Linked DNA regions of Arabidopsis thaliana. The protein of the gene in region 2 interacts with the protein of the main gene of each other region in a pairwise test. Each region holds a gene or a part of one and is shown on either strand. Other genes may lie near its edges.

The links.
Region 1: the proteins of FIS1B (region 2) and PRA1.B5 interact in a two-hybrid assay, tested with the Arabidopsis thaliana proteins (one large-scale study listed by BioGRID).

Annotation. Positions count from the first base shown.
Region 1 is NC_003076.8:236,225-251,545, forward strand, and holds PRA1.B5 (prenylated RAB acceptor 1.B5), read right to left. Parts: upstream 6,099-15,321; 5' UTR 5,890-6,098; coding exon 5,218-5,889; 3' UTR 4,988-5,217; downstream 1-4,987. Other genes in the region: BRCA2B (BRCA2-like B), read right to left, coding at 187-369, 438-636, 935-1,006, 1,090-1,201, 1,301-1,382, 1,469-1,519, 1,619-1,700, 1,775-1,960 and 7 more; AT5G01650 (Tautomerase/MIF superfamily protein), read right to left, coding at 6,843-6,899, 7,024-7,224, 7,699-7,809; AT5G01660 (influenza virus NS1A-binding protein), read right to left, coding at 8,280-8,369, 8,457-8,646, 8,745-8,846, 8,942-9,018, 9,324-9,523, 9,887-10,226, 10,463-10,540, 10,979-11,572 and 2 more. UniProt on the Arabidopsis thaliana protein: May be involved in both secretory and endocytic intracellular trafficking in the endosomal/prevacuolar compartments.
Region 2 is NC_003076.8:4,005,119-4,020,909, reverse strand, and holds FIS1B (Tetratricopeptide repeat (TPR)-like superfamily protein), read left to right. Parts: upstream 1-8,775; 5' UTR 8,776-8,959; coding exon 8,960-9,067; intron 9,068-9,068; exon of another isoform or gene 9,069-9,272; coding exon 9,273-9,402; intron 9,403-9,525; coding exon 9,526-9,647; intron 9,648-9,734; coding exon 9,735-9,798; intron 9,799-9,882; coding exon 9,883-9,962; 3' UTR 9,963-10,222; coding exon of another isoform or gene 10,223-10,432; 3' UTR 10,433-10,467; downstream 10,468-15,791. Other genes in the region: AT5G12400 (PHD-finger and DNA binding domain-containing protein), read right to left, coding at 1-31, 126-761, 1,373-1,401, 1,595-2,058, 2,376-2,500, 2,627-2,915, 3,343-4,396, 4,915-5,529 and 1 more; ANNAT8 (annexin 8), read right to left, coding at 10,223-10,432, 10,524-10,613, 10,770-10,982, 11,063-11,281, 11,368-11,513, 11,615-11,687; exocyst complex component sec10, read left to right, coding at 12,465-12,548, 12,627-12,869, 12,960-13,034, 13,150-13,251, 13,323-13,373, 13,456-13,561, 13,753-13,866, 13,966-14,057 and 8 more. UniProt on the Arabidopsis thaliana protein: Component of the peroxisomal and mitochondrial division machineries. Plays a role in promoting the fission of mitochondria and peroxisomes.

The DNA.
Region 1 (15,321 bases), 3.8 Mb from region 2:
TAACGATTTTTTGATATGCATTTCAGTCCATTCGAGGTCCACAGCAACTCTGACGAGCTTATATTTGGAACTCCCCGTTCCATATAAGCTCATATGGATAAGGTTCGTGTAAACTTATAAGCCATTAGAAAAATGCCTTCTTTTAAATTGTGCATGAAACATTCAGATTTAGGCATTTGAATGTACCTGTCTCTCCGTGGGATCCCAGATTGTTACAATGCCTTCTTTTGGATTGTGCTCTCCTTCATTACTTAAGCTCGTCAGGCCAACAAGCCTAATCCTCATGAATGGGGTGACGTTCCTTTCACCTAAACCAGCGTCTTCCAGAGCTTTTGCCACTGATTTTTCCATCTGCATTTGCTTGGCTGCCTGAGGTTCAGATTGAAGCAGTTAATTACTGTAATCAATATATCAAGAAAAGGGAATTACTATTCTACCTCAAATTTTGCTTTATATGTAGTGAAAGATGTCAACTGCTCTAGGCTCATTTCAGCCATAAGAAGTTCAGGTTCAGCAGCCGTCTCTAACAGCTTAAAGACCTTGGCTCCTTCTTCGCTGTCAGTATCGTTTTGGCTGTGAACACCATTAATTCCTCTCTGGTACTCACACATAATACCCTCAACAAGAGCTGAGCGCCTACGGAAAATAGAAAAAGAAAGAAAGAAAAGTACGAATGAGAATAAACCATGAGGAACTGCAATCTTTGGCTCTTCTGTTGGCAAAACCATCCATATTCAGAAGGCCAGAAGCTTTTCTAATAAATACAAAGATTCTTTGTCTGTCCCAAAAACTACTTAGAACCCTAATATTGGTGTATGTAACAAATGTCTCTAGCTTTGATGAGTTAATCTGACACTTCTTAGAAAGTGATGTGCTAAATTGATCACATAAATGTTACTAAAAATTGCTACTCTACAGTTATAAGGAAACTTGCCTCTGATTATGCAGCTGTATAATTCTACTTTCTATTCTCTCTGATCGAACTATTGACTTCTTTTCACCTAACCTGTATACATCAAGAAAATATAATGCTTTGCGAGAAGTATAAGGAAGACCAAAGTGCATTAACAGGCACACATTTATATTGACCTTTCCTTGTATAGGATGGGGTATATTCGTGTGATGCCAGCTAGCGTTTTAGGCACTGGACCCCCATTGCACTTGATACAGTTGAAAGCCAGAGGGACACCAATTTCTTTACCTTGAGGAAGAGATTAAGAACGATCAATAGAAAGATAATAATATGAAAGCAATAAGAACTCAGATGATGTAGTGAGGTCCACAGCATAAAGCTACTTACAGAAGCCTAGTCGGTCCGCCCAGTGAGCTCTGTATGTCCCATTAATATTCAACAACAAACAGATTGTACTTGAAATCACTGCCTGAAAGTTTGGTTGAACGAAACTCTAAGAACAAACCAACCTGAGAAGATATCAGAAAATCTTATAAAATGCAAAGTCTAGGAAACCTCAAGTGGTGATGTTGGGGTAGCCCAGCCAGAAAGTCCTGCCCCGAGGATCTTCAGATAAGAGATAAGAACGTAAGCATGCTGCAAGTCAGTGATCTAACCAAAATCTGTGTTGCAAAACAAAGTATATCTTGCATGAATATAACTTACTCGAAGCTTCTGCCCCACAAACAATTTGCCAGCATTCAGCTGCTTGGTTAGCACGACATCCAGAGCAGCATTCATCGAGTACCTGTGATTTAAAAAAAAATCCTATGGAAATGAGACAAGAAAACAGGTAACAGAACAGCAGTAGCAATTTCATACCACCCATCAGTGAGTTCGACTTTCACATTGCTGCAATTATCAGAACAATGTGCTTCCTGAGAACCATTATCGGTCCTTGGATTAATAGCTGATATGCAGAGGACCATCATTGAAGAAGCTGGAGCATCACCACTCAGAATCCTCTTGATTGCAGAGCAATGACCATGATTGACCTCTCTCTCATATCTATTAAGAAGATTAACCATGTTAGACTTTGCATGAGTTTAAGTAACGAGTTGTGTTGTGAGACTGGGAAACCTGTATTTTAGTTCCTCAAGAACATTGGTGATTGTTAGAAAGTTTCCTCTGCATTTGGCTGGGTAGTATATGTCGTAGCATGCAAGTTTCCAGACTATCCACCTGTAGTGATTAGTAACCCACCTAGTGCATATGTAGTGATAGATAAGTTAATAGATATAGACATCAAACTGTCTATCTAATAGAGTGACAATCACATGCAAGCTTCAAACGAACAGTCACACACTTTTTCTGATATAATAAACATATAACACGGTTAACATTTCAAGGGACAGAGAAAGTACTTTCTGGATGCATGTTGTAAGGAAGCACCCGACTCAGCCAACATTTGAAGAAAAGTTTCAGCTCCAACCTTGTTTGAAGAAGACTCATCACAGAATACATATTTATCTGCATTACTTGATTTGATTCTTCTGACATGGTCTGGCACATAATCCATCTAAAACCACCTCGTAAATGTGTTTGAGTGAATGAAGAAAAAATTTATGTAACGCAGGAACAGGTGAAAGGGACAAAAAGATTTTACCCTGGTCGTAGCTGTCGGATGCATTCCAAAAAACTCCTTGATATATACTCTTGGAGACTTTTCTGGATATCTTGTAGAAAGTACCTTTTTGGAAGTAAGTGTATCACACGATACAACAGACAAACCTGATAATAGACAGGACACCAAAATTATAAATCTGAGAACCAACCAATTAGATTAACAAAAAATTAAAATTAAAATTAATCGTATATATTACCACTTGAAGCTTGCTGAGCATTTTTCTTTAAAGGAGTTTTAAAGGATGAAATCCTTGGCCTTTTGAAAGGAGAAACGGAGACTGTCTTTCCCAGCCTTTTCTTTTGGGTACTGTCTTGTTTATTGTTTGCATAAGCTGTATCTCTGCGATTTGTTATATCAACAAGTGGCTGATCAGCAGGCCTTCCAAGTTGCCTAGCTCTTGGAATGAAACCGTTTCCCTTGGAATTATTCACTGCCATATCTGATGCTAAAGGCCTGTTATTTGATAGTCCATGTGTAGCAGGTTTACTGATATTCAGAGCACAATTGGTCTCATCAACAGCCGTATCAAATTTCTTGATCAAATTACCCCCTGAAGCTAGGTTCTCCAAGTTAACTGATCTAAATTGCTTTGAAGATGAATGAAGAGGAGATACAAAACTATTTGACGTATGTTTGTTGCTTGTCTTTTCTTCATGAGCAATATAACCTGTGTTGACACTTCCATTGTTTATAGCAATATCACTTAGCCTTTCATCTTTCTGTGGTGTAAAAAATTGATCACCTCCAGCTACATCATCAAAGAAAGACCCTAACTCAGGGTCACCAAGAAGGTTTCTGGCACGTTTCAACGCCTCAGCTGACACTGACAATGATTTTCCACCAGCAGTCTGAAACTTTGTTGGAGGCACCTTTAACGATGGATTTAAGATTTCAGATCTCTTCCCAGATACATAATTCTCATATTGTCCTGGAGTTCCTGAATGATGCTTAACCACTGTAGCATCAAACTCCTCATGAGTTTTTAAACCGGACCACCCATGTTGCTGGAGGGAAGAAGACGACTGGTTCACATGGTTAAATCCATTCAAATCATCTTCTTCTAGTCCTAACAATGCCTTGGCTCTTGCTAAACCGGCAGAAGATACATTAACCTTTTTGTTGGAAGCTGTCTGAAAAAGACTGTTGGGAACACCAAACCCACTCTCCCTGGGAAGAACGTTGTCTACACAATCAAAAAGAATCTTATTAACAAATAAACTATGAAAAAATGTCACTTCTAATATTTATTCTCTAAACGAAGTAAGATGTGTGTTGATTAGTTCTTCACTATTCATCGTTTTATCTGATAACAACCAAACTCAAGAAACCTGGAAGTTGAACGGAGTAGCAGCACAAACAACAAGTTCATATGTAAATGCGCACACAGCTGGATATAAGACTTAAAAAAAGAGGAGATAAGAACACACCTGAGTCAATTATCATATCACTTCCTAGAATAGACAAAGGTTTGGCAATTGAAGACTCTTTCAAAGGGACAGTTTTCCCCAAGGCCGTCCTGAACATTGGCATAGTTTCAGCTGTATCCACTTGTCTCGTTTGGGGAATTGAGCAATTTGTGTTCTGCAAATCTAAAAGTGTAGCCAAGAACATGGAACATTCAAAAGATTTTCAGGAACACATATTCACCAACATTAAGTAACAATTCAAGCGAATTCAGAAACAAATGACTAGTCAAGGGAATTCAATACTGTCACATAAAATACCTGAATAAGCAACATTCTCTGCTAAAATGGATTTGGCTTTAGCAATCGAAGACTCTTTAAGAACTACAGACTTCCCCAGCCCAGTCCTGAACATTGGGATTTCCCCAGGCATCGATTCTTCCCGTTCTATAAGCTTCGAGCATCCTTGAAGCATCAAATAATAATTCAATCTCCTTTGAGTCACATGACAAACACGATTCGACAAAGAAAAGGAAGATACGAAGAATCACCTTGGAGCAAGAGATCGGCCATGGAAGGTAGAGGAGCTGTCGATTCGAGCGCCTTGGTTGGCGTAGAATCCGAGACGGACTGAAGAATCCGGCCAGCGACTTCCCACCGGAAACCATCGCCGCTGGAATCGGAAAATAAATGCCACGTCGACATTTATTCAGTTCTAGGGTTTCCAAGTTTTCCGATTCGTCGTTATATGATTCAGCCGGAGAACTAAACCTCGCGATTCAGAATTGCCTACCACGCCAAGAGGGAGGAGTCGGGAGTGCGGAATTTTTATTTTTATTGTTTTATTTTCTTTCCCCAAACCAAAATCATCACCAAAAATCCAAAAAGTTAAAAGTTCTGACAAAGGCGGGAAAGTTGAAAAAGATTTGGGCCGAAATTATGAGACGCGTGGTTTTATTTTAACTTTGGGCTTGGTTTTTACGGACATAGCGTTCCAAGACAAGTGTGATATTGCCACGGCCTTTTATTGCGGTAACTAACGGCACGAATGCTAACCCGAAATCGTTCCAAACAATAATTGCTTACGTGGACATTTTAAAACATCTGTTCAATGTGATTGGTGACTGACTTCAATGAAAATTACATTGCAACAATGGTCAAGTATCACAGAAAATTACATTGCAACAATCTCCACCTTCAAATCTCTAAACACGCCAGATTCTGAGAACTATAATTTACACGGGGGAAGCCGCTGAGGAGGCAGAGGGTGCTACAGAGGGGATCGCGGGAACACCGATGAATGAGAGGAATCCGGAGGCGGCATGATCTTGTTCGTCGAGGAAGAGATCATCGGGAGCTCTAAAGGCGCCATGGACACAGATTGTTGCTATTCCGATCATGAGAGCGGATATCAATACAGATCCGACGCTTGTGAAGAAGATCACTGCGATCGTGGAGAGGATTAGGCCACCGAGAGTTTCGTATTCGGAGAAAGATCGGCCGAAGAGGATAAGAGGACGATCTGATGGACGGAAGAGGTAGAGGAAGAGCCAGGAAGCGGCGAGACATAGGAGGAGGATGAGAGAGAATGGGTGGGCGAGAAGAGAGAAACCAAGGATCAGAGCGACAATGCAAACGTAATTCACCCTGAAATAAGAGGAATTTTTCCGGAATCGCGTCCCGGCCTCGGAGAGAGAGTCAGGCTTTGTGAAAGCGGATCGATCGAGGAGCTCTGACCACGGACGGCTACGAGATAGACCACCACAGACCGTCTCGGTCACACCGTTGACAAATGCACGGACGACTGGAGGTTGCGATTCCACCACAGCGGTTACAATCGGAGGCTGATTGGTGGTGTCTGTTGCGGTGGTGGAAATTGGAAGAACAGGGGGATTTGTTGACACCATTCGATTTTGTTCTTTTGGGATTTTGAGATTGGAAAATTTTAGGAGACGAATGATTTAGAGGTTGCTGAAGTTGCGGTAGTGTTATGTATATATAGGATCACAATTACGCGTCTTTCAACTTTGATTATACACCTTGCTTCATCTGATAGCTAATCTATATTCATTTGCTAAAATAAAAATAAAAATAACCTCCTGATATTATAACTCAGGTTATTTTTTTGCTTAACGTAGTTTATACAATAATTCTTGATTACTTAGGCAAAGTGCATTTGACCATTAATGTTCCAGTCACAGGAAGTTTCCCTAATAGAAAATATTTTTAACACAATGTTGATCTGTCATATGGAGTAGTAGACTTGACAATGTCAAATCCTTTTTTCTTTGATAACATTCATCTTCGAATTCTAAACATAATTATATCTAACGAGTAGACAAAGACTAAATAACCATTGTTTACCCTGATAGTAAGTTGTAGCATCATATATAGCATAAATGTTATTTCTTAATGCAACTCCATCAAACCTTAGATATGTTTACAATACGAAGTAGTTCAAAGTTACTTGATCGATGAGAGTAGATCATACATTTCAAGACAATCACACTAATCACCTACCACGGAATTAAAGAGTCGCCCCGTTCCAACCAAAGAAGGATCCCTGCAAGAAGAACCACACGAGAAAAGAAATGTATAATTGATATATCAGGTGGTTATAGGCATAAACACTCCAGATGATGGATGACCCTCTAAGCCAGTTAGACAACGGATTTAGAGAAGTTGAACGAATCTCCTAAATAACTCAACAGTGTGGGTGTAAAGATTGAATTCGAGTAGTGGAACGGTTTATGCATTTGATTTAATTGTTTATAATGCCTAGTTTATGAGTAAAAGTTATAGGTCCGTCTTATGATGATGAACTTACACACATAAGATGTATTTGTTCCCTATTCATGACCTAGTAGTGCTGGTGTAAAGCGTGTAAACATTGTGCATATTCTTGACTTTGATGGTCCTAGAGAGACAACGAACAATGAAAATGAGACATGGACGCATATCGGGCATATGAAATCATTAACACATTTGCATATGTTATGTCACTACATCAAAAAAGTTATCAGAGAGAGGGAATTGCTTGCCTTGGTGTCATAAAACTTGAGGAAGAATCGAGACTTGGGCACCGATAGCTTAGTCTCAAGAATGGCGGAAACAGCAGCGCTTAGCTTCTTGTTCACATCCGCATTAAGGCCACCGATAGAAACTAATTCACCATAAGCTGCAGGATCCTCGGTCCCGCCAAATGACATAGGCACTGAGCCTTTCAAGACAATCATCACATACTGCAAATTACCACAATGAACAATGCAATCAGATAATGATCTAAGAAACAACATTACAGGACAAAAATATTTAAACATCACTAACATAAACAAGCAATCGTCAAAGCAGACCAATATTGTTTTTGAAAACAAACTTCAGCAATGAGAAATTCAAGGGCCAGGAATGGCCTAGAAATCGTGGTAAAATAAAAAAGAAGAACCCCAACGAAGATTGTACAAATAAGTCAAGAGAAGACTCCGGAAATGTGAACCACTAGAATAGAACGGAGCAACGAGATAAAATTGCTTAGGGTTTCTATATCATGCATGTGAAGAAAACAACACTCGAATCGCTGTTATTCAATAAGGAGAAGAAAATGATTAAGAGATAAAGACGCACACAAGGCAAATCTCAGGAGAAAACGAAGAATCGAAACAAAATTCGAACAGAACGAAACGAACTAGAGGTTAAATCGAGAGAGAAAAAGGGATTACGTTCTCAGGCTTGCCGATGATTTTCGCGACGGTGGAGGAAGCTTCCGAGAGAATGGAAGATGTATCGACGCCGTCAAGGTTAACGTTGGTGGAGAGGTTGAGGCACGGCATTTTCTTCTTCTTCTTCGTCTCTATCACTCGACGCCAATTTTTTTTAGTCAAGCGGATAAAGAGAGTAAGACCACCCAGGAATTTTCCCCTTTTATCCTTAAACCTTTTTTATTCGCTTAGGCCCAAGCCCATCGTTTTTACGTTTGCATTCTCGTTTCGAAGATTCTTTCAAACGCTCTGATGAAGTGATTTTGGATTATTTTGTTTAGAAATGGGCCTTAATCTAGTTATAAAAGCCCGCTCAAATTTGAGTGCCCAGGAACGTTTATAAAATAGATCTCTCGACCTAGACCCGAACGCACCTAATTGGTTAGATGTTTTTTTGTACTTTTTTATAGCAAATCGATATTTCCATTTTGCTTCTACTTCATAGAGGGAAACTCTTTCCCCAAAATCAAAACTCCTAAAGGCTTATCTCTGTCTCTCATGACTTGGCCACCAAAAAAACAACAGCTTCAAAGTTTCCCCATTTACAAAGCCACCGCAGATAGAAAGCAACGCCTACCGATCGAGGAAGAAGGCACGTTTTTCCACCCTTCACCTTCCTTAAAACACTCAACCTGCAAACACACACATGATCAAAGATTAAACCGTGTCTGCTTATGTAAATTGTTTTAATTTCATTTCAAGTTCAGAACTGATCCTACAGTGTCTAATATGTCATCCTCTTCCCCTTTGTATCCTCCGATCACATATATTGAGTCTTTAACCACTGCCACTGCTGAATATCCTCTTAAATCCTTCATTGGTTCTCCCGTCATCCATGTCCCTGTCCTTGGCTCATATATCTCAACACTCGATACCATTGTCTCACCATCAAACCCACCAATCGCATATCTGCAATAGTGCATATGAATACAACCTTAAAACTCTTACCCAAAATTTGTCTGTTAGTTACTCTCAAAGAAGAAGAAAAATGGGGAGAAGAAACTTACAGTTTTTCATTCAGAACAACAAGAGAATGGCAGCCTCTTCTCGACTTCATCGATGCAATATTCATCCAGGAGTGCTCTCTAGGATCAAACCTTTCAGCTGTGCTGTTAAAAGTAAGTTTCCAATAAATTGTTCTTGTTAGCTTCACATGTGTCAAGATTAGGGGAAAAAATAGAACACAAGGCTTAAATGTTCTTACTTCAGGTACTCTTTACCATCATAACCACCGACAGCATAAATTGAACTTTTATGCTCCACGGACGCAACTGCAAATCTCTGAGATCAAAGAGCAGTGACAACTCAGAGAATAAAGCCGAGGAGAAGGTCATGGTATCATCTTGCTAAGGCTTATAACCAGTAGGTGAGTGGAAGCATAAACTACATTTCTATTGTTAACCTGACACTCCTTACTTGAAATTATAACTTAGCGAAATAGAGTAGTTTTAACAATGGATTCTCTTTGGGAATTTATGTTTTTAGCTGTGAGCTTCTGTCAAAAATTTCCCAGTGGGGATCTAATTGACAACTTTTCAGATTTTTGGCTTTCACCATATGTCATGCGAATAGAGAAGAACGTTTACCTCCTGCCCCATTGACCTTGTTCTGATCCATCTCCCTATATCTGGATCAAGCATCTCAACATCTGAAAAAGATACCATCCCATTCCCACCTCCGATTGCAAATATTTTTCCATCCAAAGTGGCTCCACCTAAACTTCCTTTTCGCTCGTTTAAGGGGGGGCACAAGCTCCACTGGCCATCAGTCTGGTTAAAGGATTCAGCTTCACAGAAAAAAGAAGAGGCAAAACAGAAATCAAAGATCAGGCTTAAATAATTATGGTTAGAGAGAAAAAGAAGTGTGAAGTGGTAGACATTAACTTAAAATATGCACAGCCGAAGTGAAGTGCACTAAATTAATACACCTCACTTCACAATTTGCTAAAAATACTAGAGCCATTTGGTTTAGTAATATAATGAAAGTCACAGTAGTATGCTTTTGCCACCCATATTCCGTTTTCTAGTTCTTTTAGTTGTCTGTTAAGAATATCTGGAAGGTTTATAGGTTTATATATGTATTGTATACAGGCTCTAATGCACTAAATAGTTAACTCATTTTAAGAACAAGAGAAAAAGAGAGGCCGTACCTGAGTTGGTCCAGCCACGGCCACCGTCATCACCTCCAAAGACGTAAATTTTACCATCCAACTTTGCCACTGATGCATTTGAACGGATACAGCTCATTGAACTATGAGCCTTTACAACATTCCTGGATGGAAAATATGACTGCACTGATGACAACCATGTTTCAGAGTCTTTATCAAATCCCCCTAAAAGAAGAATTGCCTCAGTTGGATCTAAGCTGGTATCATCTGGTGAATGGATCTCCAAATCACTGCCACCAGCTTTGGTGATTAAAGGACCTGATATGGACTCCAGCATGTTGCAACGCTCTGTCAATTGATAAATTTCCTTGTGTGCTTTGTCCTGAAATACCAAATATCGAAAAGTAAAAGTGTTATGGTTTCTCCACCACTATATTTTGAGCTTATTGGTTCCAAAAACAAGGGAAAATGATACCGAGATGAACCCCTAGCTGAAAATGATAGAGGATCATTATCACTGATATAATGAATATCTGTGTGGGTGTGGTCATATTACACATGCAAACAGAATTCCAGCAGGAAGAATGAAAATCAAAATAGCAATAAACAAAATCTTACCAGCTTCTCTTCCAAGTAACATATCTTGGTTGAATTTTCCAGCCCGCATGCCCTGAGTTCCTTCACCTCATGCATCAACTGCAAAATATTTAGCCAATATGATCCCATTGATTTTGATACACCCAAGAGACATGATAATCTTCCGAGAAGGAATTACAAGTCTCAATTAACTATAGATCATAGTCTTTGGAAGAGAAGCAAGCTGACATGGAACAGTTTCTTCTTAACTATTCCTGCAATATTATAGCTAATACACAGAGTTCTACACAGTTAATAATTGACAGCTCAGATGGGTATAAGTAGAAGGGGGGAACAGACGTGAGGTTGCCTAAAACTTCGATATTTTGGCTGAGAAAATTGGGGGTTCTGTTTGTCGTTCGTTCTGAGAAGAAATAAAGGGGAAAGTGTTGACTCTAACAGATTTACACATAGACTTGTATAGGAAGTAACAGTTAAAGTATTAGAAATGGAGACCTAGTTTGAATAAATACCAACCATGTGTAGATACCAACGTACCTGGCTTATTGTATGTGGAAGAGGAGAGGATACAAGACAACTGCCATCTATTTTCCCCTCTGAACATGTTTCCTCTTCAAGTGTATCTCTGTCTTCCAAGTTCTTGCAGGTGGGAATGTTGGCTTGTTCAACAGTTTCAGTTAGACTGTTGTCTCCATGCTCATCATGACTAAAGACGAGATCCTTCAGTTTCTCAAGAACATGATCCTTATCTATTTGTTTGGGGTTCTGTACGTCTGGATGGTTCTCAGAGAAACCAGGATGAGAAGCAGCAGCAGAGGAGTCAGATTCTCCGCCAGAACTGAGTGACACTTCCAAGCTACCCACTGGTTCATTCTCAGAAGGCTTAACCTCATCACTGTTCTCTTTCTTTTCACTTGATGAAATCAAGCGAAAGATCTGTCTTGTGTTTGGTGTATTCATGGGTGGTTTAGGTTTCACAGCAAAAGATGTTAGCAGACATGTCAACTTCCTTGTTTGGAAATGATCAAGCTCAAACCAAAAATGGTGAGAACTGTAGTAATTATCTGCAATTGCAGGTTTGAATTTTTCCTCGGAAAGTGGTTCACACTGTAACCTAACACTGATTGGAACCTGCGAAACCGTAAAAGACCACTGCTTATTTCATGAAATTTATACTGCTTATGGAAAAGGTTGGCAAGGGATAATGCCTCCTGAAAACCATATGTAATCCAATGAACTCATAGAAACACATATTCATGAAAGTGATCAAATGTCACTCTGGTACCTGTGCAGGATATGAGGTTCTCTCAGAACCATCAGAGGTCCAGCCATAAGGGTCAAAATTGAGCTGACCACAACCAGCAGCCTCAAAAATGCCATGAAGTGTACGATCAGAATAGTTGAAAAGAAACAATGGCAAACCAATATCAATCTTCTGCACGTATGGATAGTGGTTAGAGGGTAAACCTGTCAAAACCATCAGCGGATTCAAGAAGCATATACATACAAACATTGCGAAATAGAGTTTAGAAACAAAAAAATGCAACAGCATACGACAATGAGCAAGCAAAGAATCAAAGTAGACAGCAAACAAACAGCTACATTCAGCAGAAGCAAAAACAAGCATGGGAAAAGAATAAGCTATTCAAGAAGACTCACCAAACAACTGTTTCGACATACATTCTTTGATGGTATTCTTAGTGCAGCCAAAGACAACACCACCTAGTTGACTTTTCGTCAGGTTTCTGAAGGAAAACTTTCCCCTCCTTTGAGCCATCCTGACATTGATTGGGTAAAAGGAAAGAATATCAAAGGATTTACAGTGTAACAACAAATCCAGTCCTTCCAATGATTGAAACGGGTCTTATTGCTCAAGCATGTAATCAAGACAGACACAGTCTCCAGATTTTTCGTACGGTTTTACTAACTAGACAACAGAAGGATGAAAACCTTCAAACACATGGTGTGCATTATTAAGACACTCAAGAGGTAGCTTATGAGGCAGCCATTGATGTGAAATTACAAAATCACGAAGAAATTCACATGATGAAATACGAAACACAAATGTATACAATTTTCAGTCAGCTAACGAACAAGGCCATATAACTTAACACACAAAAACCCAACCAGGAGCGAAATCAACAAACAGATAATTCTGAAACAAAAGCGCAGAGCAGAGTTTCCAAATCAGTAAACAACGAAATTCCAACCTTACATCTCAACTCCTCGTGAAATCGAAACACGATAAGAACCATGCGATGACAAAACCCTAGGAAAATAAGCAAAAGGCAACGACTGAAACCTAAATGCTCACTTAAACTGGAATCGGAGCTTGATCAACAGAGAAGTTGAGTGAGAGCGGTGAAAAATCGAAGAAGACGAGGTCTCAGAGAGAAAGAGAGAGAGAGGGAGAAGAAGCTTAGGCCATCATGACTGATGGCAATGCAAAAGACGATGACAAAGCCGGAGGAGCGACGGAAACTGAGCGACGGAATTTTTAGAGCCTTTTAAGCTGCAAATTTTAAATATACCTTCTTCTTCTTCTTTTTTTTCAATTTCTTCTGCTTTCTAATATACAACTTTCTCCTTTTTACTTTTTCTACGGTAAATTTTGAAAGAAATTAGACATTAGTCAAACTGTTTACAAGTATTTCCTTCTGCGGAAAAATAGACATCGATGCAAAATATTTTTAAAAAATATATATCTATTAATTTATCATTTTTAAGAAAAAATTATCCTTTGCATATAAAATGCGCGTAACAATGAATTTCCTCGATGAATTTGAAGAAAAACAATAATTGGTCATATTAAAAGAAAAAGAAGAAGTAAATATAATATTATCTATAAAAAATCATGTGTTGTCAAATCATGCAATGAAAACATGAATACAATAACACAATTCAATATACCTTTTAGCATATAGGCATGGTCATAAACTAATTAATAAGAATATTGTTTCTTTTGTTGATAAAATATTGTTTGTCTCCGAAGAAATATATGTAGGGAGATATTAAGTTATTATGATTGTTTCTAATGAAGTGAGACATTAAGACTTATTACTAATAGTAGCTAACTTAAATGGAAAAATGTAAACCGTGAAAACTATAATACTTCTATCAAACAAATGAAAAAGGAGACACATCTTCCTCTTTTATACTTTTACCCTTTTTAGATTTTATTAGATGTGGACATGCAATGTTGCATAAGCCAAACAGTAAAAGTTGTACTAAACATTATATAAATGCTCAACTAAACAAAGAGAAACAGACATTATAATAATCGCTAGTTTTGTACTTAAGTGTGGTTGCGTGATAGAAATATTTGTTTTATAGCCATGGTACGTATTACCTAAGTACGTAGGATCGTAAATGGGTTGAGAGAATGAATGTTCTTGATCCCATTTTCTTATGACAGTATTTTGATTTGGGTGATTTGCAGATATAACATTTTTTCACTAAATAATTAACTAACTAACACCATAAATTTGTAAATGTAATAAATAACCTTCAAGGGGTGTGAAAAGACATCACTGTCCTGGTGTTACGTTTGTCAGCGAGGAAGGAAAATGTGGTGACGTGGCTTTATTATTAGTGTTGAGGTGAGAAAAGAAATCAGGTGGTATGAGAGAAGTTCCTTTTTCTCTTTCTTTTTTCTTTACCCCTTCCCAATTGTAATTCATATTATCTAATCTTTAAAAAATTAATTCAAGTTCATGATATATCAATTAAAAAGTTGTATAGTTTTCTACATATATCATGACTTAAATTTTTTAAAACAGACACAAAATAATTTAGATGTGAATAGTGTTGTCAATGAATAACATAACGTTCTGTATAGATACACAATATTTTTTTATGGAAAGATATTAAACCCTAAGGGATAATATATAGGGAACCCAAGGGTTTAAATCTAAACCAATAATTAAATCACTTAACATCCTTAATCAAAACAAATAATTCATTTTAAAACGTATATAAAACAAGGTATACGTAAATAGTATATTTACAAATAGAATAGTATCTCTCAACTTGCAACAACAAAACTCAATTTCATAACCAAGACACCAAGCGCAACAACGAAAGTCGATTCCCTGAATCCAAATTGTGTTCCTCTCTCTGTAATTCGAAACCCCCAAATCAAATCTCACCCAAAAGTAATTAAGAGACTCTGATTTGAAAACAAAAACAAGTAACGATGTAGGTGTGAGGACTTTACTGGGGAGAAAGAGAGGGGGAGGGAAAAAGAAAGAGAGAGAAAGAGAGAGGGGGAGAGAGAGAAAGAGAGAAGGGAGAGAGAACGGAAGAGAGAGGTACACATAAAGAGAGATGAGAGAAATAGATAGAGGGGTAAACTTGGAATTAATATACAAAATATAGAGGATATCATTTTTTTCTTTTTTTAATGTTAGTTTCTTAATTATAAACTTTTTGTTGGTTAGTTTTGCCAATTCCCCTTTTGATTTTATGAAAATAGGGTTTTCTCAATAATTAAGTTGGTATCATGAGTAAAAAATCATTTCAAGCATAAACAATCTTAAACTCTTAAATTGTTTACGACTAAAGCTTTTTTTGTTTTCGTAAACACATCAGATTTATCACAAGATGCAACCAAAAGATTTGCCAAATCCTCAAAAAAAAAAATCGATCAAAGCGTTTGCGTTTTTTCTTTTCTTTTATTTTTTTTAATGAAAAATAATGAAGAAAACAATTTCATGCAATAATTACGTTGGAAGCCTTTTTGGGCTCGAAATTCGAATGCTTTATCTATGATGGGATTGCAAGAATTTTTTATTAAAAAAAAAAAGTTATGGCGTTTCGGTTAAACTCAGAAACTCTAATCGAGTTAGAAAACTCACGATCGAGTTTTGGAGCTTTGGTTA
Region 2 (15,791 bases):
TTAAGCCCATAAGCATCTCCGTGGTACCATTCTACAGACATTACAAAACCAAAAAAAAAGCCTGAGCAATGAAAAGAAACCAACTCTTGCAATGTGAACCAAAAGAAGCTCAGAAAATGGATTACCTCCACATAATTCGCAAGAAATGAAAGTTGATCCAGATTTAGATTCAATTGAGCCACATAAGTGACACTTAGGTTGATCATGATCAGAATCAGAGTTCTCCAAGGGAACATAATATCTCTCTCTGTGGAACTGATGGACCCGTTCATTGCCAGCCTTTCGGGACAAAAGGAGGCCATTTAACCAATAGTTCAAGCACCTATCTGTTCTCGCCTTTCTAATGGAGATCTCTTGTTTTACTTTCTTAGGTCTACCTCTGCCTCTTTTGGTTTCCAGTTTCCGTTTCTTACTCCCTTCAGGGACTTTACTTTCATCCTGCAGCCGAATAACATGCTTCAATTGCCTGCCAGAACGTCGCAATGGTTTGCTTGCAACAACCTTTTTATGATTCTTTAACCTTATGGCAATTCTCTCTGCCATTGAAGTCTTAGTCTTCTTTAACCGAGGTGATTTGCGAGCAGCTATGACTTTTTTACGCTTTTGCGTCTGAACTCCAATTTTTTTCCGGAAACTCCCAGGGGGCCGCCCTCTTTTTCGTACGGTGGGTTGTTCTTTTGATAGCACTTCACTTTTGCATGGAACACATATGTACATGCCTTCCTTCTCTCCCCTCCTGATATGCTTTTTGTGAAATACTCCTGAAGTTTTTAAAAATAAAATCAATAATAATTCTATGAAAGATCATGTTAGCGAGTCTCCACTTGGTTGGGAATGAGTCTAACTAGTGCTTACAATTCTAAGGGCACCCTCACCCTCAAGTTACCTTTTGGAGCAAACTTTTATTGTCTAAACTCTAAAGTGGGTCACATTAGTAAGTAAACTGGATTGCCCTTGGGATAACTGGTTTACCAGCTGTACCGCAGGTCAATACGTCGAAAATGTTTTAGTTCTTCTTGTGCACAAAAAGTGAAGAAATACTTATTCAACCATCAATTCATGAAAATGATAAAAAGAATATTTTTTAACTTGTTTTTCCAGTAGGAGGTTCGTTTATTTTATGTTCAATAAGTAATGAAACTCATCATAATTTTATATATACCAAATAATTACTGAACCGGTGACAAGCTATCCTAGACGGGATTTTGTTCCAGGTTGGATCAGGCAGGTCGGGTTTTAATACTGGTTCCACCTATAGGCCTTGTGGGAGTTTGGTTTGTGGTAAAGTATAAGCTAGGTCAGATCACTTACACAGGCATAGGTTTTGGGAAAAACAAAATCTTTAACAAAAGTAACAGGAAAAGAAACGCACCTTTGCAGATGTGGCAGCTTGCAGCTTCACTGTCATCAAAGAAAAACAGATACCATAAAATATAGTTAAAGATCATTACTCTGATATGTTATATAGGTCAAATGTCATGCTATTAGAAGCTAAGCAGAGTCCAACTGACAATAAAGGTTACTCAATATAGGATTGATGTTCTGATCAAGACAAGGACTTTTGAAGGTAAGAAGGGTTGTGATAGGTACATACCTCAAAGGCACAACTTTCTTACATTGCTCACACAAGGAGGATTCAGATCTTTCTGCCCTTTCAAATAGGTATGAGAATCCTTTTCCCTCTGAGGACCTTTTCCGTAATTTTCCTATCTCAGAGTGTCTGAAAGAGCCTCCTGGCTTGCTAGTTTTCCGTACAGCTTTTTTCTCTTCAAATCCTTTCACAAGATGTAAAGGCACATGTGATTCATTCAGCCAGAACCTTTTTCTTCCACTCGAGGATTCTTCAACCATGCAACCATTCTTCGACACAACATCCGGAATATTTCTCCTCTTACCAAAGTCAAGGAGATATTTCACAGTCTCTTCCTCCGTGCACTTCCTACGGACAATTGCTTTTTTGAATAGCCTGGCAGATTTTCTGGATTCTTTGTCTAATGTAGGAAGAAGATGACTGTTTTCAATATCATCCCACTTTATGTAAGATTGGAGTGTCCTAATCTGTGATCACAGAATTGTTAGCTGATAATCATCCAACACTGAGAAGACTATAGAAGACAGTGTTACAAGACAACATATTCAGTGTACAAAAACTGCAAAAGTCAGTAAAAATCCAAGTAACAGTATATGAAATGGATGGCACACTAAAAAATTTAACGAAACTGACACCATCAATATTCATGCGTAGACGAAATGAAAACAAAAATTCGTGTCACGACCTGTATTACCCATATACCCTTCGAAACTTCAACATTGATACTTTCTCACTCATACCAACGAGACGAGAATTACATTCAGTTTGACAAAGTTTATATTACCTGCAAACCGAGCTGCTCTGAAGTCGTAGATGACTCCACCGCTGCTTCCCAGGCAACACGTCGGCTTCTCTTAGCAGACTCTGAATTCTCCGGATAAAATATTCCTGGAATATTCATACTTCCACCTGCATAGTGTAGAGTGCATCGAGAATGAAACAACTAAATGGAACTATGGAAGTGATGGGAACGATAATTATTAAAGACGGTAGAAGAACAAACGCGAAAGCAAGAACAAAAGAGAAAATGTAAACCTTGTCTAGCAGCCTTCGAGATTAAAGCGCGAGGTAAAACCTTCCAATTGAATAACCGTCGTGAAAGTTGCCCGCCTCTCCACCAGCACATGGTCAATCCACCATTTTTCTTTGCAGTAGGGTTAACCCCAGAATCCAACAATGTCCCCCTTCTTTTACCAATAGCAGTCTTTGACCATGATCGTGTCGAAGCAATTAGAATATGTATAGCTGAGCCCATCACTACGGCAGCATCGACATGGCTTAGCCACTCAAGTGAAAGTACACGATGATGCAAATTTGCCTCTAGCTGCCCAAAGGTAATTAACAAAATCTTTCATTAGGAAAAGAAAATTGATGCACCCCTAGGTTAGTCACTAATGCATTACACACAGAAAAGTGCTCAAGAGTTGATATTGAAAGACTTTCGAAGATAGTTAACTCGTAAGCAATTGGAGAACCAACAAAACATTCAACATTCCTGGCCACACTAAAAGGTGAACAGAAATTGATTAATGCAAGCTTTTCAAGTAGGAAGAAAACGAACCAAAGCTAAAGTTCTACACAGCAGAGGATCATAACGAAAAAATTTGAATATGACATTTTCGACATGGGCAAGTTAGTGTGGTTGTTCAGAGATTGAGCTTTTGCCAATACAATGATTCAACTCACAAAACAATTCCACATGCCATTGCAAAATGAATGTTTTAGGAGGAAGAAACTTGTGAAAAACTTACATCAACCAATAAATGTTTCAAGCTTGAGATATTTGATGCCTTCAGAATGTGTTCACGCCAAAAGCTGGAGTGCTGTGGATTCAACCATGGACCAACCAAAAGTCCTTGTAGTCGACTTTCCAAGGAAAGAATCTGGCATATGATGGCCAGAAGATGACTGTTCTTCTCAAAGGATTGAATGTTAGCTACTTCACTTTCCGAAAGACCTCGTAAAGCCCCGAGACTCATATTAAACAAACAATTTATCTCAGTACCGGCATCCTCAGAAGAATTTTTGCAGGAATGACACCATCCACAATTTTCTTTCCATGCATCTAGGTAGAGACTTTGGATGTTTCGCCATTGAAATTTGGTGGTTTTCATCAATATAGTCCTCACCTGGGTAGAAGCTATTTCTTCATCAGATCTCATATCATTGGTACGGATTGGTGACTTACGTATCATCTCTTCATAAACTGATCTAGTCATCTGAGCAAATATGTATTGGTTTCTGTAGCCTGTTTCAGTCTGCACATTTGGTTTAGTTCCTTTCCGTGTGTTTATTTTAGCCAAATTTTGGGAATTCATATTTGGCTCTTTCATGATATCCAACATGCTTGATGATGCTGGCTCATGAAGTCTCTGGACATCTGAACCATTTTGTACAGTTTCAGCAGATCCTTCAGAACTCATATTAAGGATATCTAGCGCAGTAGCTGAATCTGATATCTTCCGGCGAGTCCTAGGACCATGATTATGTGACCATCCATTGCTGGTTGCTTTGTTCAGCTTTTTTTTAGCACCAGATGTTGACTGTTTCTCTGAAGCTGGTAGAGGAGCCCCAAACCCATCAATCGAAGGAATCATTCCTTTGACTGACTTATCCATGCATACAGACATTTGGGAATTCAGACCGCTGATTGTCCTTACTGGCCTAACAGGGATATCCAAGTGTTTTCTAATTGCACTTACTACGCCAGCATAGAAACTACTGCATGACTTTAGCTGCTCCAGCACAAGGTTCACATCAGTCACATGATAGTAGTTCAATGAGCCTGTGCCATCTGTATCTATCCTGCAAATTCATAGTGGACGACATCAACCAACCTACTAAAATGTATAACAGTTCCTACAATCAACATATGAAAGAAGTTCGTAGAAATAAATGATAAGAATATTCCACATCTGTATACATGGAGGGATAGTAAGGGTTACCATGTGCATCTAAATAACGAGCAAAAAAGGCTTTTCACAGATTTAAACATGCAATTCAACTTATTGGAAAATTTGACGGGAAGGACGCATAGTTTCACAGTTTTATCATGTTATCTGTACATTTTAGTTAATTCTGTGTAATTTAGTTAATCCTCAGCTAGCTAAAATTAGGGGGTAATGTTTTTAAACCTAAAACCAACATGTATATCCAATGCTCGTCAGACTACTGATTTAGACAAATTTTTTGCTAATATTCATATAAACATTTGTTTGTTTACTATGAAAAAACAATTATAGTGATCCATATCCACAATTTTGATTCCATTGAGATCATGCATTAACCATTCTTAGCTATGAGAATCGAAGAAAGAAACTTACACCAATAAGTAGCCACAACTGCTGTAGTATTTTCGACCATGCGGATCAATCTCTATAAACTCTGCGCCTCGAATTTGCTTATCAGGCTTCAATCCTGGTGCACGCCGATCAAATGCACATTCAGGACAGTACCAGTCCCCCTCAGGCAAAAGGTGACTGGCAAGACCGACACACTTAGAATGATATGCAGCCGGACAACCATCACAGCACAGTAAGCTCCCATCCATTTTACAGAAACAGCAGTCGTCACTGTTCCGGTCAAATGAAGTATCAATGACCTCGTTATTTAAAGAAAAATCATCAGCCAGCTCCATCATAGTTCGCTTTCTACGTCGCACTTCTGTGTTCGTCTTCCTATCAAGTTCCATTTCAAACTCAGCTGCAAAAGATCTTTTATTAAGCTCTGCCCTCACGACTTCAGCATCTGTCATATCATCGCACAAACGACTAAGTATCTCAATTTTCAGATTCACGGGTTGTCTGAAATAATCGTTTCTGAAAAAGTTCAGCCGAGTAAGATCCAATCCAGGGTTGTCTTTGGACCCAGAACATAGTAGGTATTCAACCACAAAAAGGGGATATGTAACCACATCCAACGTATCCCAATCAAGACTCCTGCATTCAAGATACCACCAGCAAAGCATCAGAACCAAAACAGGAGAAGCTTTATATCCATAAAACAGCAGTAAAACTAAAGTACTAAAGAAAGAAAAATAAAAAGTATACCTCAGACAAGCAGACGCAGATAGGTCACCTTCAGCAGCGAGTTGTTTCAAATGTTTTCTTAATATTTGCAAGACAGAAACATGGATGCTATCAAATAATAGACTAGGAGACATGCACCTCAATGCTTCCACAAAATCCTTCAGCTCAAAAGGACTCAAAAACAGCAAAGTACTGAAGGACCTCAGACAAGAGTAAGCAGTAAAGACATCAAGTACAGGAAGACCGTCTAAATCCAAAATAGGGGAGGATGGAGGTAATTGTGGCTTTGGCGGGAGTGCAGAAATATTATCAGCTTTTCCATCAACAATCCAAGTTTTCTCCTCTGTCAGACTACTAATTGAAGGAGAAGGGGATACTTCCTCAACAAAGCAAGCTGTTACAGTACTACTGACAGGCGATCGAGCTAACCTTCTACGAGCGCTTCTTCTCAACTGAGGTTCACTCATGAATTTTGGATTGTCAGAAGCTTTTCTTCTTTTCCTCCTACCACTTGTATATTCACCTGAATTTCCCCTATCAGAGAGAGTCTCATCAACAGTCTTAGCATCATGATGAGGTAGATCAGGATCCTTCTCAACCCCATTAGAATTAAGATTCTTGAGATCTTGCGGTGAAACAATGTTCTGCTTCTGTATCTCCTCCAAAAGCTCAGCGCTGGACACTTCAGCAACATGAACTTCTTTATATTCCCCAGTCTCAATATTATCCTGGGCACCATTTCCGTCCTGCATGTTGATTTCTTGAACAATGTCATTTCCATTCATTTGACTGTACTCCTCATCCTTGCTGTTCTCTACATCAACCTCCACGTTCAAATCAAATCCTACCTCCCTCTTCTGCCCACTGAAATCACAGATAGCAGCATTGTCCAAATCACAGCTCGCATCCATGTTCAGATCAATATCCCACTTCCGTTTGTCACTACAATTTTCTTCATAATCGATATTTACATTAACCAAACCTAGATTTTCATTCGAATTCCAATCCAACCCAGTAGTCAAATCAAATCCAGTTTCCGATTCCGACACCGTCCTATTCAAATCCGTGACAGAGGAGTCCCATGTCCTACCTAGGGTTTCCACAGGACCACAATTCAAATCAACATTCCCTCTCAAATTCTCCTCACTAACTCCCGAATTCTCCGCAACTCCATCATTTAAATCGACATTTACCTCATTCAACCCAGAGCTCTCTCGCTTGATCTCAACCACCCTCGCAACACGAGACCGTTTCTTCGGCTTCCTACCAACTCTCTTCTTCTTCACTGGAACCGAATTCTCCTGAGATTTACCATCTCCCATCACGAGAGCAACAACCTCATCCAATTCCGAAATCTCCGTAACACCGTTCTCATAAACGATCTCGAAAAATCCAGACGAATCGCGAGATCGAACCGTCCCGGAGCAAAACCCAATCCCTTGGATCTCCTTCCTAACGACTTTACCAACCAGCTCCATTGCTACAAAAGCTTGCTCTCGCTTCACGATACAAGCGAATCAAAGAAAACCCATAGCCAAAGTCTCTCTGGATTGCAAAAAAAAAAGGAGAAGCGCTGGGTTTTCACTTTATTCTAGAAACGCTTGCAACGTGCAAGGAGAGAGAGACAAGGACAGAGATTCTCTCTCTTCTTAATTCTCGGAAGCAAAGAAAAAAAAGTAGAAAGAGAATTCTTCTTCTACAGAGAAACGAAACGTCTTAACGAATTCTCTCAGTGATGATGAGAAGAAACAAAGACGGGTTGGTCAATGTTAGGAAGAGAAGGCCATCTCTCTCTCTCTCTCTCCCCCCTCCCACACTACTCTTTTTTTTTCACCTTTTTTTCTTATTTATGGTCAAAGGATGTGTGATATGTATATTGTGATATGTTTGCCTGTTTTTTTACCTTATTTATATGAATTGGTACTCTAACTAACAAGTTACAACTATGTCATTACATGTGTGATTGATTTCTTGATGTACAGTTTATTATTTTCCAAGTATTCAAATAATTTAATTTATATAAATATATAAGTAAAATAAATAAAAATTGGTAAATATTATTAACTAAAATGTTAAATTTGTTGATATAATTTATGTTATAATTAATGGATATTTTATGTTAATATATGTGTTGTATAATTTCAAAATATTATTCTAAGAAACACATTTGTATACAACTACAATAAAGATTTGACACATGGAAATGTTGTCCTAATTTTGTTTTTTCATCTTATTCTCTTTTTAGAGGTACATTTGTGCTAGTTTGTTCATGTTTGTCAATATTCGATAAATACTCTCTTTGTTAGTTTCGAAAGTATATATATCCACCAATCTTACTCTCGAATGTCATTCTCTAACCAATCTGCAATTTCTCCTAACTAAAAATTCCTAGTGGAGATAAAGCATGACGGAATGAATGCATGATGGACAAATTAGTATAAAAACTCATGAAGATTTGATGTTTTTGTTTTTGCTAAAAGGTAAATATCATTAATATGAAATAGAGTTTGGATTTATATTTTGATTATCAATACAATTCCTAGTAAAAAAAAGGTTTGAGAAAGAGAAATTAATATAACATACAAAAATTTATAAATTAGATAACTAACCAAAAAAAAAAATTATATGATATTGTGAGTATAATATATATCAATACATTTTTATCCTTTTAAAAACCATCACTATTACCACTTTTGGCCACCACCACCTCCGGCCACCACCTTCGTCCACGACAACGTCCAGTCACCACCACCGTTCACCACCACGTCCGGCCACCATCACCTCCGGCCACTATTTCCGACCACCACAACCTTCGGCTACCACCACTTCCAGCCATAACCACCTCCGGCCACCACAAATTCCGGCCACTACCCTCGGCCACCATCATTCTCAATCACAACCACTTCCGGCCACCACCATCTCTGACCACCACCACCTCCGGCCACCACCGCGTCCAGTCACTATCACCTCCACCAAAACCAATTTGGTCAATAATTACCCTTTATAGTTAGTTACTACATTTTTAAAATTATAGTGTTAGTTTGTTAATTATTTTATCAAATGTTTGTTTTGCAATTCACTCTGTCAATTTTTTTTTTTTTTTTGTTAAACCAATATTATCTTTATAAAGAAAACATTAATATGATAATAAATTAATAACAATATCCACCTAAAATTCTAAATTAATTTAAAAAATCTCTAAATTTACGCAAAAATTTTATTGCCGTCAAATTTCTGGACTGGTCTTCGTCAAAGAAAAATAGCTGAGCACAAGGGGAGGATCATCGTCAAAGCCAACGAGAAGAATACTCTGAAATATCTTGAAGCTGCGACAGGAAAAATGGACGCGGCGATAGGGAAGGTTTTCGATTCCGTCTCAGACTTCTTCTCCGGCGCTGCTTCTGCTTCCGCCGATGAGTTTCCCTTGTGCGATTCCGACATCATCTCCGTAAGTTTTATGATTCACCACCTTTTATGTTCCTCAACTTGACACGCACAGGAACCTCGAATCACAAATTTCCAATTGTTTTAATATCTCCTTCATCGGATTTTGGATTCTCTTGCGTTGCTTGTCCTTGTAAAGAATTTTTTTGTGTTTGGCCTGAATTTTGGCATGCATACATAATTTTGTAAGGAATTGACATCGTTCTCAGGGATGTGAGAAAGAACTTGCAGAGGCTCAAGACGAAGGACGTAAGAAGGAATGCATTATGCGTCTTTCATGGGCTCTTGTTCATTCAAAGATGCCTTCGGATATTCAGCGTGGGATTGCAATGCTTGAAGGTAATAGCTTATGTTCACACTTTCTATGGAATCTTCAGCTGCCTATTGTTCTTCCAAAAGGTGGATGCTTTGATCCATATGACTGGTTTGATCTTAGCAAAGTGTTTTGCTTTGTTTTCGCAGCTTTGGTGGTTAATGATACAAGTGCAATGAAACTTAGGGAGAAGCTATATCTCCTTGCTCTTGGTTACTATCGAAGCGGTGACTTTTCAAGAAGCCGGGATTGTATAGAACGGTGTTTGGAGGTTTGATCATCTGTTCCATGGATAACTCCTGAATATCTTATTGTTGATGTATTCTACAATGCCTTCTTTTTCTTTCTGTGGTTTTAGGTTGAACCGGAGTCCGGACAGGCTCAGGCACTCAAAAAGGCTATAGAGGACCGTATTGTGAAAGGTACTATTGTGTCAACTGTCCACACATCGTCCATTAGAATCTTCAGCTGCTTTTTCTTAACTCTCTTTTGATTTTTGAAATCAGATGGTGTGATTGGCGTTGGAATTGCTGTTACTGCTGTAGGGGTTGTTGCTGGTATTGCTGCAGCCATATTACGCAGCTAAGGAGGAAAGAACCCATACATGTACATGTTTCCCTTATTTTCAGTGAGTCTGTTTAGTTTCTTTGTGTCCTTCAAAGAATGTCTTTATTAAGGAAAATTATGTAATTCCTGTTTTACTATGAAAAGCTAAACAACAGAACTGATTGAGGAAGCATCAAACAGAAAACTTTATTATTACTTCAGCGTTAAATATAGTTTTATTCCATACTAGAAAATTAGAAGAGATGCAACTGTTTTAAGGTGTTAAGTTGAGGATGAACTCTAAAGTTGTTTTCCATGTCCTAGCAAAGCTAGAAGAAAGGCCTTGTAGTCCCCTGATGTCTCTTTTGCTATAGCTTGATCGAGACTCACATTGTTCCTCTTAAAGTACAGCCCAGTTATATTCGTCAGGTCCTTTTCTGCTCGTGTGACAATCACACGGTTCAGAGCATCTTCATCAGTCCCCACCGTGTTGATTGAATTGCGCAAAACCTACGTGCATTAGGGATTAACCATATGAATACCAGTTAGTTTTATTGGGATAATTTAGAGAACACATCTAAACAATATTGTTGCATCCTACCTTTGCATAATACCGGGTAGGGTTTTTGATGCACCTGATGGCTGCACGTAGTGCACTCAGGTACTCATTTGTAGGGTGATTGAGGAGATCCTGGTCATCAAATGTTTCATTAAGGACAGCAAAAAGAACATTGTCATGAAGAAAAACTGGTATGACTGCTGTATTGTTGTCTAGAAATTTCCAATTGATTGCTTTGTCACAGATCAGTTATAACATAACTTGATGTTCATTTTTTTGTTTGTATACCTTAGTGATCGATGTGCCATATATATCCTTGTAGCGGTTGAAGATTGCGCTAAGCTGCATGCTGCTCCTTGTACTTAACACCCTGATCGTTTCTTCGTGATCAACAGCCTTACCAAGGATTTCATCATGAAGAATCGCAGCCTCTGATTGCGCCAGCATCTCATCAATTTCTTCTCCATCATATTTATAAGCAGACACCATTGCAACCAAGAGCTGTATATATCAAGAAACGCCCAAGCGTTGAAGATCAGTCAAAACTAGAAGAAACTATCTGGAAATTTAAAATTACTTACTCTCCTGATGTCGCCAATAGTACGGGAGGCCAAGTCTTCCTCAAGAGAATGCTTGTAGAGGCAACGGTAAGCACGTCTAGCAGCTAACATATCTTCAGGGGATCTCATGCAGGCAATTTCGACAAGAACCTTGTAGTCAGGAATAGGCTTTTGAAGAGCCAAGTTAGCCAAGAGAGCATCTCTCTCTGGAGGATCCAAGACCCACAAGCAAATAGCTCTCTGCAGGTAACAAATATATTTATCTTTTGTGGATTATTGAAATAGAGTAGAGTAGAGCACATGGAGGAGATATATAAAATCTAAACCTCAAAATTGCCAGAGAGCTCAGATTTGAGCTGGTGAATGAGATCCTCATGGTAAATCTCCTGGTAAGCTTGTCTTATGAGCTTCCTCTGGAACAAATTCCGGTGTCCTAAGATCGAGATGATGGCATTTTCATTGGTTCCCCATCCTAAAACGCCAAATAGAAATAAAGAAGAGGAGTAAAGGAGATAGCAAGAAACTTGATGAACCACATAAGTTTTGAAACACTAATCCAAAGAAAAGTAGAACCTTGACAAGCCGCCTTGATGTTTTCAGCGTCTTCGACAGGGGAGAAATGTGGAGGAGAAACAATGGTGGCCATTTTGTTTTTTCTGTTTCTGCGTAAGATATCTTTGACTCAGATTAATCACTTGTTGGATATTGCTTCCATTGCTTTGAGCACTCTTAATTTATAAGAGTTGGTAATGATGTTACAATGCTTTGAAGAGACCAGAAAATGTTTCAAACGGCTCATTGATTGTTTTTGCTCTATGTTAATCTGAAACTCTCTCTGTTAACGCCACCCCTTTATGTATATGACTTTGCCGTTATTTTTTCAGGAATTAAGTTTTCATAAGGAATATTATTGCATCCCATAACACAAAAGCTAACTGTAAACACGAACACAAATATTTTTGCCTTAGAAAAAAATTAACAAATTAACAGTTGATCAAATTCGTTAACCGGCCGGTTTAGGAAAAAAAAACTCGTATAAAATAAAATTAACAGCTCATCAGGAGGGAGCTCATAGTTGTGAAAAGTCCGCCATTGAAGACCGTCTCTCTTTTCTCCGTCTTTTTCTCCCTGCAGTTACCGGATTCCTCCGGCTAGATCTCTCCGTTCATCGCCGGTAAGTTGCTCCATATTACATTTTTCCTTTCCCGTGTGCGCGATTGGTCATCTATAGGTTCTAAATTTTGTTGCATTCGGCGGAGTAAACAGCGATTACCGGTGATGACTTAACTTAGAAGATTTACGCTAGTGTAGTATCATTGAAGAATCCAGAATCATACGCATCTCTTTCTGCTATTTATTGAATGTTTCATATATGATCTGTCAGACTTGATTCTTCAATTCTTTGAATTTTCCATTTTATCAGATGACAGAAGGAATCAGAGCAAGAGGACCCAGATCATCCTCTGTTAACTCTGTTCCTCTGATTCTTGACATTGAAGACTTTAAGGTGAGGTTTTCAGTTGCTTATGTTTTTTCACTTTTGAATCATAAGGGATATTGATTTTTTTTTTTTTGTCACTGACAGGGTGATTTTTCATTTGATGCATTATTTGGGAACCTGGTAAACGACCTCTTGCCGTCTTTCCTAGACGAAGAAGCAGATTCTGGGGATGGCCATGGCAACATTGCTGGAGTTGATGGTTTGACAAATGGGCATTTACGTGGACAGTCTGCTCCTTTGTCCTCTGCTCCTTTTTTTCCTGAAGTAGATGGTCTTTTGTCTCTGTTCAAAGATGCTTGCAAGGAGTTAGTTGATCTTCGGAAGCAGGTGAGTGTCTTGCGTCTACATCGATGACTAGCCCTTGTTTTATCTTTTCATCGTTCCGATATCTGAGGTTTTTGTTAATTATTTTGGAAGGTTGATGGAAGGCTCAATACACTAAAGAAGGAAGTTTCAACCCAAGATTCTAAACACCGGAAGACACTGACTGAGGTTGGCAGACTAATACTATTAGTTTGATTAAATTCCTTGGGTACATGGATCACTACCTGATGAATAACTGACACCCCGATCATTTCTTCAAATGGTAATTGAATTCTCTTTCTAGATAGAGAAGGGTGTGGACGGTCTGTTTGAGAGCTTTGCAAGGTTGGACGGTCGTATTTCAAGTGTTGGACAGACCGCTGCAAAAATAGGAGATCATTTGCAGGTAAAATTTACCTTGCTTATAACCAACTATCTGGTGGTCTATCCAATATTAACCCATGCTTCCTTTGTCAGAGTGCAGATGCTCAGCGGGAAACTGCTAGCCAGACGATAGATCTTATAAAGGTAAGTGTGCATCTATGTTGCAAGGTTGGTCACATATTTAGTTAGATGAATGCTTAAAGTAATCCTTGTTCAACAAATGCAGTACCTAATGGAGTTCAACGGCAGCCCAGGGGATCTTATGGAGCTTTCCGCTTTGTTTTCTGATGATAGCCGCGTAGCTGAGGCTGCTTCTATCGCTCAGAAATTACGTATGATGTGATAGCTTTATGTTACTTGAAATTTGTCTGGAGTGTTAGAACAACTTTTTATCTATCATTTGTTAACAACTAAGAATTTAACTCTCCAACAACGAAACTTTACTAAAACCAAAAAGAAACAATGAAAATTTACAGTTAAATTAGGCTGCAATTGATTTCCATGCTCTCCTTGTCGATATCAGGATCCTTTGCTGAGGAAGACATTGGAAGGCAAGGTGCGAGTGCAGCTGCAGGAAATGCTACCCCTGGCCGAGGACTGGAAGTTGCAGTTGCTAATCTTCAGGATTACTGTAATGGTAAACTAATTCGTTTATACTGTGTTTTCTGTATATTTACTGAAGAGGATTATTGTATGTTCAACTTTTTCTTTGTGACATTTGAGTATGATGCTGTAGAATTGGAGAACAGGCTTTTATCTCGTTTTGATGCTGCATCACAGCGGAGAGATTTATCAACCATGTCAGAATGCGCTAAGATTTTGTCACAGGTGAATGCTTTATTCTGCAGCATGCCCCTTTACAATTCAGTAGGAAAACCTGTTCTTTTATCTAAGATCCGAGCGAAGGCCTTCCTTACGTATCGAGTGATTACATCCTGGTTAATTCTACATAAAGCTGTCACAGAAGGAATGGATGTCTAGTTCTCCTCTTGTACATATGGTTCTTGATACTTAGTATTTTTTCTTCTTGATTTTCAGTTTAACAGGGGTACAAGTGCTATGCAACATTATGTGGCTACACGTCCAATGTTTATTGATGTGGAAGTCATGAATTCAGACATTAGGTTGGTTCTTGGTGACCATGGTTCTCAGCCTAGTCCTAGCAATGTTGCCCGTGGACTTTCTGCTTTATTCAAGGAAATTACAGGTTTGAAGGTCATTGATCTGGATGCAATACTTGAAACATGCTTCTATGCTGATTCATATATTTTGTTACTTCTTATGTGTAGACACCGTACGCAAAGAAGCAGCGACCATTACAGCTGTTTTCCCGACTCCAAATGAAGTTATGGCGATCTTAGTTCAGGTAACTGGCACCGATAATTTGGACACTGTAGTGTTAACCCGGCATATGGATAAGCTATACCAACTCTTCGTGTATTTTACGCAGAGAGTTCTGGAGCAGCGTGTCACAGGTATTCTAGACAAAATTTTGGCGAAGCCCTCTCTTATGAGTCCACCACCTGTGCAAGAAGGCGGACTGTTACTAGTGTGTAGATACCTCTTTATCTCTTTCTTTTGCTATCTTCGTAGTAGGATTGGTATAAGAAAGTTAACTCTTAATTTTTGTCTTTAGTACCTTAGAATGTTAGCAGTTGCATATGAGAGAACACAAGAACTTGCTAAAGACCTCCGAGCTGTTGGATGTGGTGACCTGGATGTTGAAGGTCGTTTTTTTTAATGATAGAAGTTTTGTTTTGTCATGCAAACTTTCGTTGGTGCTGACAACTCTATATTTTGACTGTGCAGATTTGACAGAGTCCTTGTTTTCCTCGCACAAGGATGAATACCCTGAGCATGAGCGGGCCTCCTTAAAACAACTATATCAAGCAAAGGTTTGATATGGTTATTTCAATTTTCTGATTGAAATTAGTTGTTATGTTGTTCATTAATGTGAAGTGCTTAGATTTGAGGTTTTCTCTACAGATGGAAGAATTGCGTGCTGAGAGTCAGCAAGTCTCAGAGTCATCTGGGACAATAGGACGCTCTAAGGGTGCTTCAATATCATCATCTCTGCAGCAGATATCAGTCACCGTTGTCACAGATTTTGTTCGATGGAATGAAGAAGCAATAACCAGATGCACATTGTTTTCATCTCAGGTTACTGAACTTAGCAATTTATGAGAAACTTTTCCAAAATAAGTTAGTTGCTGTGAATTTTGAGAAAAGATGTCGGAATAGGATATTGACAAAGAAATAATCTAAAATATTGATTTTGGCTGAATTATCTAACAGTAAGTAAACTTTAATATCTGGGATTGCATATCTGATATTTATAATTATTTTTTTGTGCAGCCAGCCACACTTGCAGCCAATGTTAAAGCTATATTTACTTGCCTGCTAGACCAGGTATGCTGTTCATGAGATTCTAGAGTCATTCATATTAATAGAGCTGATGCAATGATGAGTTCTTGCAGGTGAGCGTATACATAACTGAGGGACTTGAACGGGCAAGGGATAGCCTGTCTGAAGCTGCAGCATTGAGGGAGAGATTTGTTTTGG